2 linked regions of the Arabidopsis thaliana genome follow. The protein of the gene in region 2 purifies or fractionates together with the protein of the main gene of each other region. This does not show direct contact. Each region holds a gene or a part of one and is shown on either strand. Other genes may lie near its edges.

Region 1 (4,525 bases), 5.9 Mb from region 2:
TAACCGATTATGTTGGAAGTCCCTTGGCTGATCCTTTAAAGAGGTTCCCTTCCCTTCCTCTTTCATATGGTTCTCCTCCATTGCTGCCATTTCAAAGGCGCCATAGCTGGAGTTTCGATCGTTACAAGGCATCTCCACCTTCTGTTTCTTGCTCACCATCGCCTACACGCTCGGATTCACATGCATTGGTTTCACATCCTTGCTCTCGTCATCTTCCTCCTCACCCTTCTGATATACCCACTGGTCGTAGGAAGGAAAGCTACCCCGAAGAGTATTCTCCTTGTCAAGATTTCTCCCCTCCTCCTTCTCCTTCAGCACCAAAACACGCCGTCCCAAGAGGCATCACACGTACTGAAAGTGCTCCAGTCAGAATACCAGCTCCAACTTTCCAGTCCAAAGAAAACGTTGTGGCACCTTCTGCTCATCTGAAGTTGTCGAGACACGCTTCGTTGAAGCCTGTGAGAAACTTGGGTCCTGGTGAATCTGGAGCAGCAATAGATAAGGTAAACGTACTCCACATGTCTTATCTTTTATCTGTTTTCTTGATCATGTGACTTAACGAGTTAAACTGATATTCATTATCCTTCTAGCTGTTTCTTTATGGGAGAGATGACTTTAGAAGACCTTCTGGGGTGAGGCCGTCTTCCAGCAGTTCTCCGCGGATATCATTTTCCCGGAGTTCCAGTAGATCTTTCCAAGACGATTTTGATGATCCTGATTTCCCTTGCCCATTTGATGTTGAGTATGATGATATTACAGATCGGAATAGCAGGTATGGTCTTAAAAACCTTACATATCTCATTTTCTCCTTTCCAATTTATCTACAGCCCAAGCATTTAATATTTTGATTGCTTTAGGTTGTCCTTCTAAGTGGATAGCTATTATATTTCAAAACCAATTGACTTTCTAAATAAGTGATTTACTAATCCTGGCCTCTTATGCTAATCAGTAGGGCTTAAGAAGCTAGTTCATGTTCTTTCTTTCTTTGAGATTTTACAGCCATAAGACCGAAATGGTTACTGTAATGCTTCTGTATCTGTGTAGCTTCGATCAATCTTGGGGTATTCTTGTACTGATCTTTTAAAAAGAAGAAAGAGAACTGTTTAGTAGAGAAACCAAGAAATCGTAACTCTTCTCTATCACTAATATCATGATATATTTGGGGATAATAAGTTAATCATATAATGACTTGAAATGGTTCGTCTCAAGGTTTCTGATTCAGTTCTTGAGACTTTGTTTTGTAACTGTTTCCAGTAGAAGAAACTGATTTTTGGTTTACTGCCTTATTTCAGACCAGGGTCGTTTGACCACAGAGGAGACATACATGAACCATTCGATTCAAGCGGGTCATACCCGAAGAAGTCCCAAGATGCTGCAGTTGGTGCCCTTGTGAGAATGCTGAAGAAAGCGCCACCTCTCAGACAAGATGTCTCTGAATCTTCCAGACCTGAAATTTGCTCGAACAACAACAAACCCGCAGGGGCTCATGAGATAGCAGTAGCGTCTATCACAGCCTCGGGGATTGCTCTGGCCTCAAAGACAACAGCTGATGCTTTGGAAGAGTTGAGGTCTTACAAAGAAATGAAGAATCATTTGTTGCTTGGTCAATCCACATCAAACCCTTCCTCGGTTACTATTACTTCACCCTTTGATGTTTGATGTTTCAGAATCTTGACCCATTTTGGGTTTCGGTTTGTTTTTTTTTTTTTTTTTTTTTCATATAATGTGTGCCTATGTAAATAATATTAAGCTCTCTACTCTTTGGATGATATTGGTCCATGTAAATAAACTTATACCCAGGAAAAAAAGAAAAAAAATTCCATGTAAATAAAATGGTAAACATATGTTAACTACTATTTATAATCATTACAAAGCTTTCATTTGTTGTCAACTAATATGAAAGCTTTCTACAATTTCTTATTTCATTTTCCAAATCAAATTTAAGAACTCTCAGACAAAAATAATATATATAGCAACACGATGTCGTTTTCACTAAAAAAAACTTAACAACACGTCGCCGTTTGGTAATGACCCAATCGGCGAAATCTGAGAAGACTAAAACCCTAAGGTAAACCTGAGAGAACAAGCCAGAGCTAATCTCTTGTCGGAAGGAAGAAGGATCAAAAATGCCGCTCTACGACTGTATGCTTCTGTTCAAGCCTATAATCAGGAAGGAGGGCCTCATCGACCTCGTTGCGCGCATTGGTAAACACGTTTACAGCAGAAATGGCGTCCTCACCGAGATCAAATCCTTTGGCAAGGTCGAATTGGGTTACGGTATTAGAAAGCTCGACGGAAGACACTATCAGGTATTCAATTTCGTTAGTTTTCTTACTGAATCGATGGTTTATGAGTCCGTAGAGTTTGTTTGATCAGGATTTTCTCCAGGCCGATTCAATGGTATTAGCATTTTAGTTTAGGTTTGTGTTAGCTTTGTCTTTTTCATCTTTCTGATCGATTCTTATGGTTAGATAGCTAGATTTTGGGAATTTATACAGTCATTTTACTCAAATGCTTGCTACGACCATGGACTGATACTTCTTTCGCCCAGATTACTTACGCTTAGTTTAACTTTCAGTTGGATTCTTGAAGCAAAATCATCATATTGTTACTAGTAAAGGTTGTTTTTGCGTGATTTTGTCTACCCGATTTATAAAATCCTGATGAGGATAACAGAACAGTAGGATTCTAGAATGGTTCCTATCTTAGTCAATTGTTCAAAGAGCTTGATTTTGCTTTGGATCTTCAGTGTGGAGTTTGATTATTAGTTTGATGCTATAACCGTAGATAGATAAGCAATCTTATTATTAGCATTATGTTTTAGGTTGGCCTTTCGAAAAAGCTTTGTGTCTTGTAACTTTCTGATTGATTCTTATGGTTAAATAGCTGGACTTGGGGGAAATTATGCGGTCTTGTACACAAATACTGGCTACGATCCTGAAGTGATACTTGTTTTGTGATTTCTTACTAGTCACAAACGTTGCGTTTAGTCTATGGTATTTTGTAGATTTTCATTTCCTCGACAGTGTTTCCTTTCGAACTTAAGATTCCAGAAAATCCTGATGAGGGTAATACAACAGCTAGGATTCTAGATAAGTTCTTATCTACTGAATTGTCCAAAGAATTTGATTGTGCTTTGGATCTTCAGTTTGAAATTTGATTACTTGTAAGATAACCTGGTACAAATAATCGCAGCTTTCGCTTATACATTTTCTTCAAACTGTTTCTGTTATTAGACAATTTGGCTATATAGGAACAGAAGGAGAATATATAATTCATACATACCTAGGAAGTAACGGGATACATTTGTTTCGATCAACTATAGATGTAGGATTATCATATGTTTTGAGAGTATCAGTACAAAAGCTTTAAACATCAATCTCCTATGTATTTTTGATAGAATCTGCAGAGAGTGAAAATTGAACATCCACTTTTATTAGCTTTCCTCTCTTACTAATCTGCAGAGTCATGCGTTTGCTAAGTGTTTTCTGCCTTCATATCGGGTGAATGTTTTGCAGGGACAATTGATGCAGATAACAATGATGACAACTCCAAACATGAACAAGGAGCTTCACTACCTGAACAAGGAAGACAAACTGCTGCGCTGGCTCTTAGTTAAACACCGTGACATCAAGATTGGACAGTCGGAAAAGGAAGATAGTCTGACTGTGCCTAACAGACTCACTAGTGGGAGCTTATATGATGGATCCTCCTCGGACGAAGATGACAACAACATTTTAGGGTTATCACGATGAGGAAATCAATTTCTTTGAAATGTTTACTCAGACAATTTCTTCATGGGAGTCCCCTTCAATGGTTATGAATGTTTTTGGTTACATGAAGTGGTGGTATGCGTTTTGCGTAGACAATGAAATAAATTAATTTTATGTAATAATAATTTTTAGGTAAATTGAACTAAATTTCATGTGTTTTATTGTTTTCGCTATTTTCCTAGTGGATATTCAACGTCATCAATTGGGTTGACAACCCCGAATTAAATGCCACGTGTATTGACACGTCATATTTGCATGGGGAGAGCGTTTCTCTGTTTTTAGGACTTGGAAAAATTATCATTTCTAAAAATTAATATTGGGAAAAAAGAAGGAAATTAAAATAGAGGTGGTGGTTCGTAAATGAGCTAAGAACAAACACTTGTTATAATTTCCCGTGTCGCTGCATCTTCTTCTTCATCCATCGATTTCTCTCAATTAGGGTTCTGATTTTTCTTCCCATTGTTGTTCTCCTTCTCCGTTTCGTCTCAATTACAGAACAAAGCTTCGTTTCTCCAGGTATAATCGAAACGTCAGAATCTTATTAATACAAATTTACGCGATTCTGTTGCCTTATACCGTTTTTTTTTTTGAGAGAGAAAATCTTTTAATCGTGTGTTTTCTATGTTCATATGAATGTATGCATTGATGTGAATGTATATGAATGTATACTCATGTATGCATTTTTTTTTTCTCCTCTCAAAATTATGAAATAGTTCATGTCAATTGTTTATACCTGTGTCGAATGTGGATAT
Region 2 (4,618 bases):
TTTTAAGAACTAAAAAGAAAGTGGTAGTATAATTTAACAAAAGGATGATGACTCATATGAATAATAGTAGGCAAAAAAAACTTCAAAACCACAATTTCTTGTTTTCACTTAGAACCTTATTCTGCCATAATTACGTTTAGTTAAATTAAGAAAAAATTGCTTAAAACGACAGTACAAGAAGAAGGAAACATTTTCTTTCACTCAAAATCCTATTATCGCGCAACAGAGGAGTCTAAGTGAAATAATACCGTGTCGTTTGCGGATCAGAAATCGAGAGAACCACGTATGTGTCTTTTATGTCCTGGTCAAACGGTTATCCAACACGTGGATCCCAAAACTAGCCACCGACTGCAGCAAGTTTCTCGAACCGATGCACGTGTCCTCGACACGTGGAGACTCCCAAGCACGTCTCTGGGTTATAAATAGCAACCCAATGCTCCAATCATTTTCCATCATCAAACACAAAACAATCAATCAAAAACATAAAATTCAAAGTGTAAGCAAAACCAGAACGAGAGAAAATGGACAACAAGCAAAACGCGAGCTACCAAGCCGGTCAAGCCACTGGCCAGACTAAGGTCTCTCTCTCTCTCTTTCTTTTGTTACACATTTCGTATCAATTTGTTGAAATATATGTAAAAGATCTCTACATTTCTAAATTCATATAGTTTTCCCGCAAATACTTACGGATTACGATAGGGTGTTCTTTTTAGACAAGGTTGATCTAATAATGTATAATGTTAAACTTATGTGAATATAGGAGAAGGCCGGTGGAATGATGGACAAGGCCAAGGATGCTGCTGCTTCAGCTCAAGACTCCTTGCAACAGGTTCAGTTTTGATTCTTTCATTTCATTTTGCTCCCTTGTAGTAAAACCATAATATTGAACTTTTAAATCAAATTGTGAATTGTAGACTGGACAACAAATGAAGGAGAAGGCGCAAGGAGCTGCTGATGTCGTCAAGGACAAGACCGGCATGAACAAAAGCCACTAAGCAAGCACCTTGGACTTCTTTTCTAATTAATTCCCCTCTTCGACTTGTGTTTAATAAATTTGGGGTTTTAATTCTCATTCCTGCTACTTTCTGATGTTGTTTCCTTGCGTCCATTTGGATCTTTATGTAATCTTATCTATCTAGTTAATAAAAGTATGCTTTTTAATATCATGAATGTGGAAGAAAAAAGGGAGTGGGTTTCAGTGTTCAAGTATAAAGTAACAACTAACAACTTCAAAGAATATTAGATCAATGAAAGTAAGTATCAAACAATGTATATATCTTATAGTGTTAGTTTGGAAATTTTATCCAAAATGAAGATAATTTGGAACGTTAGATGAAGTTTTGTTCCTCAAATAACTTTGGAACCTTCAGTTTTTTATATATCATTGGAAATTTAGTGAGAAAACATGATTGGATCAATTCTCTTACTAAAACATTTCAAGAGTATAAGGAATTATTGATTGAGCACAAAAAGACATGGTCATATTTTCCTAATCGCTGTGGAGGATAAAATTATCTAAATAAAAAAATGTTGTGGCTAAAATGAAAATTACAAAAAGTTGGAGGATGACAGCTTAAAAATACTCGACCTTCCGTCTTGGTCAGAGGTTTAGTCTAAAGCCCTAAACATTTCCTCTCTCTCTTGCGCCATTGCTGCTCCATCGTTCCCATTCGTAAAAATCCAAACTTTTTGTTCAAAATCAAGCCAAACTCTAGTGTTGTTGTAGCTTAGATAGACATTAAGGATGAGGTATCAATGGCGATCGCTTCTTTTCCGGAGCTACCGTTCGTCTCCTCGTCCATTTCTTTCTCATCACTCGCGGTTCCAGGTAATCTCCAATTCGACTCGATCTTTCTCTTCTTTCCTCCACGAACGTTTTGGAGTGCAACAAAGACAGTGTCTTTTTGCCTTGCGATCGCCATTGGCGAGCTCTGTTAGCCGACGCTTTTCATCTGAGTCTGCGATAGAAGAGAAACTTCCTGCTGAGACTGTTGTGATTGATGTTTTTAGCAGATTGAATGGTAAGGATGAGATTACGAAAGAGCTGGATTCGAATGATGTTGTGATTAGCCATGAATTAGCATTGAGAGTTCTGAGGGAACTTGAATCAAGCCCTGATGTTGCGGGGAGGTTTTTCAAATGGGGTTTGGAGGCTTATCCTCAAAAACTTTCTTCCAAGAGTTATAACACGATGCTGCGTATTTTTGGTGTTAATGGATTAGTTGATGAGTTTTGGAGGTTGGTTGATGATATGAAGAAGAAAGGGCATGGTGTTTCAGCTAATGTTAGGGACAGAGTCGGTGACAAGTTTAAGAAAGATGGACTAGAAAATGATTTGGAGAGGCTGAAAGAGCTATTTGCTTCAGGTTCTATGGATAACTCTGTTGACAAGGTTTGCAATAGGGTGTGTAAGATTGTGATGAAGGAAGTGTGGGGTGCTGATGTAGAGAAACAGCTAAGGGATTTGAAGCTCGAGTTTAAAAGTGATGTGGTAAAGATGGTTTTGGAAAAACTTGACGTGGATCCGAGGAAAGCTTTGTTGTTCTTTAGGTGGATTGATGAGTCTGGAAGTTTTAAACATGATGAGAAGACGTATAATGCTATGGCCAGGGTTTTAGGGAAAGAGAAGTTTCTTGATAGGTTTCAGCACATGATAGAAGAAATTAGGAGTGCTGGTTACGAGATGGAAATGGAGACTTATGTTAGGGTTTCAGCAAGGTTCTGTCAGACTAAAATGATTAAAGAAGCTGTTGAGTTGTTTGAGTTTGCAATGGCAGGTAGCATTAGCAACACACCCACCCCACACTGCTGCAGTTTACTGCTCAAGAAAATTGTCACTGCAAAGAAATTGGACATGGACTTATTTACAAGAACTTTGAAAGCTTATACTGGGAATGGCAACGTTGTGCCGGATGTTATGCTGCAACATGTCCTCAAGTCTTTGAGAAGCGTTGATAGGTTTGGACAGAGCAACGAGGTGTTGAAAGCGATGAACGAAGGTGGATATGTTCCTAGCGGTGATTTGCAGAGTGTGATTGCATCAGGACTTAGTCGTAAGGGCAAGAAAGATGAAGCAAACGAACTTGTGAACTTTATGGAAGCTTCTGGAAACCATTTAGATGATAAAGCAATGGCATCTTTAGTTGAAGGGCACTGTGATGCTAAAGATCTCGAAGAAGCTTCAGAGTGTTTCAAGAAGATGATTGGGAAAGAGGGAGTCTCTTATGCAGGTTATGCATTTGAGAAGTTGGTACTTGCTTATTGCAACAGTTTTCAGGCAAGAGATGTATACAAGCTTTTCAGTGAGCTAGTGAAACAAAATCAGTTGAAACCTTGGCACAGTACATACAAAATTATGGTGAGGAATCTGTTGATGAAGAAGGTAGCAAGAGATGGTGGGTTTGAAGAAGCTTTGAGTCTTCTACCTATGATGAGAAATCACGGGTTCCCTCCTTTCGTGGACCCGTTCATGGATTACTTATCGAATAGTGGAACAAGCGCAGAGGCTTTCGCTTTTCTGAAGGCTGTGACTTCAAAGAAGTTTCCATCTAATTCAATGGTTCTGCGTGTATTCGAAGCTATGTTGAAGTCTGCAAGGCATAGTGAAGCTCAGGATTTACTGTCTATGTCCCCAAGTTATATCCGTCGCAATGCAGAAGTTCTAGAACTTTTCAATACCATGAAACCTGAAAAATGTTCTTTAGAGAAACCTTTGCCTGCTCCTGCTCAAATTGAAGCTTAATTCATTATATGTTGTTTTCTTTTGTTTCTGGACGTGGTGATTCAAAAAGGACAATCACTTACTCGACTCTAATCGCTATAATTTTCTTCATATAGCGGCGATGTGGGACTTTTGAAGATTGTTAGTAGCTTAAATGGGCTTATTTAGAAAAAGGCCTCTGCCTCTTTTCCATCGTAAGCCAGTTTACATTACTAATCTTTCCCCAACTTAAGATTTTATCATTTGGTCTTGTGGGCTTTTTAGCAAAAGGCCTATTTATCAATCTTGTTGTCTATGTTGTCTCTTAGCTTTGTTTTTTCTCTATTGACCTTTAATCCAAAGAGTTTACAGAATTCATTAGTACTCTAAAGATTTGGTATTTTGTTTCTTATAAAGTACACATTATGTATTTACATATCGGACAAAATAAACACATATACATATGTGTATCGTAATAAATAAATTAATCATGCGAACAAAGGAGCATCATCACACATCTTCTAATGATGTAGATCCTCCCCTTTTGTTCTTTCAGATATTTCCCGAGTCTTCTACTTTGGGATTTCTTCTCCTTTCTCTTCAAGCTCATGATGCTTTCCATATCCAGTTGTGTCCCTAAGAAACCAGTTGATATAACAATGATTGTATCGGAAATACTAAAAAGTTGGTGAGACTTTACACCACGACGAATCCCTCGAAAAAACTTGGTCTAGATTGTTTCCGAGCAGGAATCTTCTATGATATTAACTATTAATTAAGAGAGTGTGATATTGTGAAGAATAAGAGAACTTTGGAAGATAAGTGATTTAATGGAGAAGATACTTGTTCGAGTGAGTTTTTATAGGGAGAAGTTATTGTCTGCATTCTACAGTAACTTAATAAACAATTAATAATAGG

Evidence for each region. The genes of interacting proteins can lie anywhere in the genome.
Region 1: the proteins of AT3G02490 (region 2) and AT3G18760 fractionate together in Arabidopsis thaliana (co-fractionation; one large-scale study listed by BioGRID). This does not show direct contact.

Annotation. Positions count from the first base shown.
Region 1 is NC_003074.8:6,457,160-6,461,684, reverse strand, and holds AT3G18760 (Translation elongation factor EF1B/ribosomal protein S6 family protein), read left to right. Parts: upstream 1-1,959; 5' UTR 1,960-2,126; coding exon 2,127-2,309; intron 2,310-3,518; coding exon 3,519-3,755; 3' UTR 3,756-4,008; downstream 4,009-4,525. Other genes in the region: AT3G18770 (Autophagy-related protein 13), read left to right, coding at 1-503, 591-772, 1,293-1,659.
Region 2 is NC_003074.8:511,863-516,480, forward strand, and holds AT3G02490 (Pentatricopeptide repeat (PPR) superfamily protein), read left to right. Parts: upstream 1-1,615; 5' UTR 1,616-1,744; coding exon 1,745-3,742; 3' UTR 3,743-4,063; downstream 4,064-4,618. Other genes in the region: AT3G02480 (Late embryogenesis abundant protein (LEA) family protein), read left to right, coding at 522-578, 761-829, 915-995; RTFL19 (ROTUNDIFOLIA like 19), read right to left, coding at 4,185-4,322.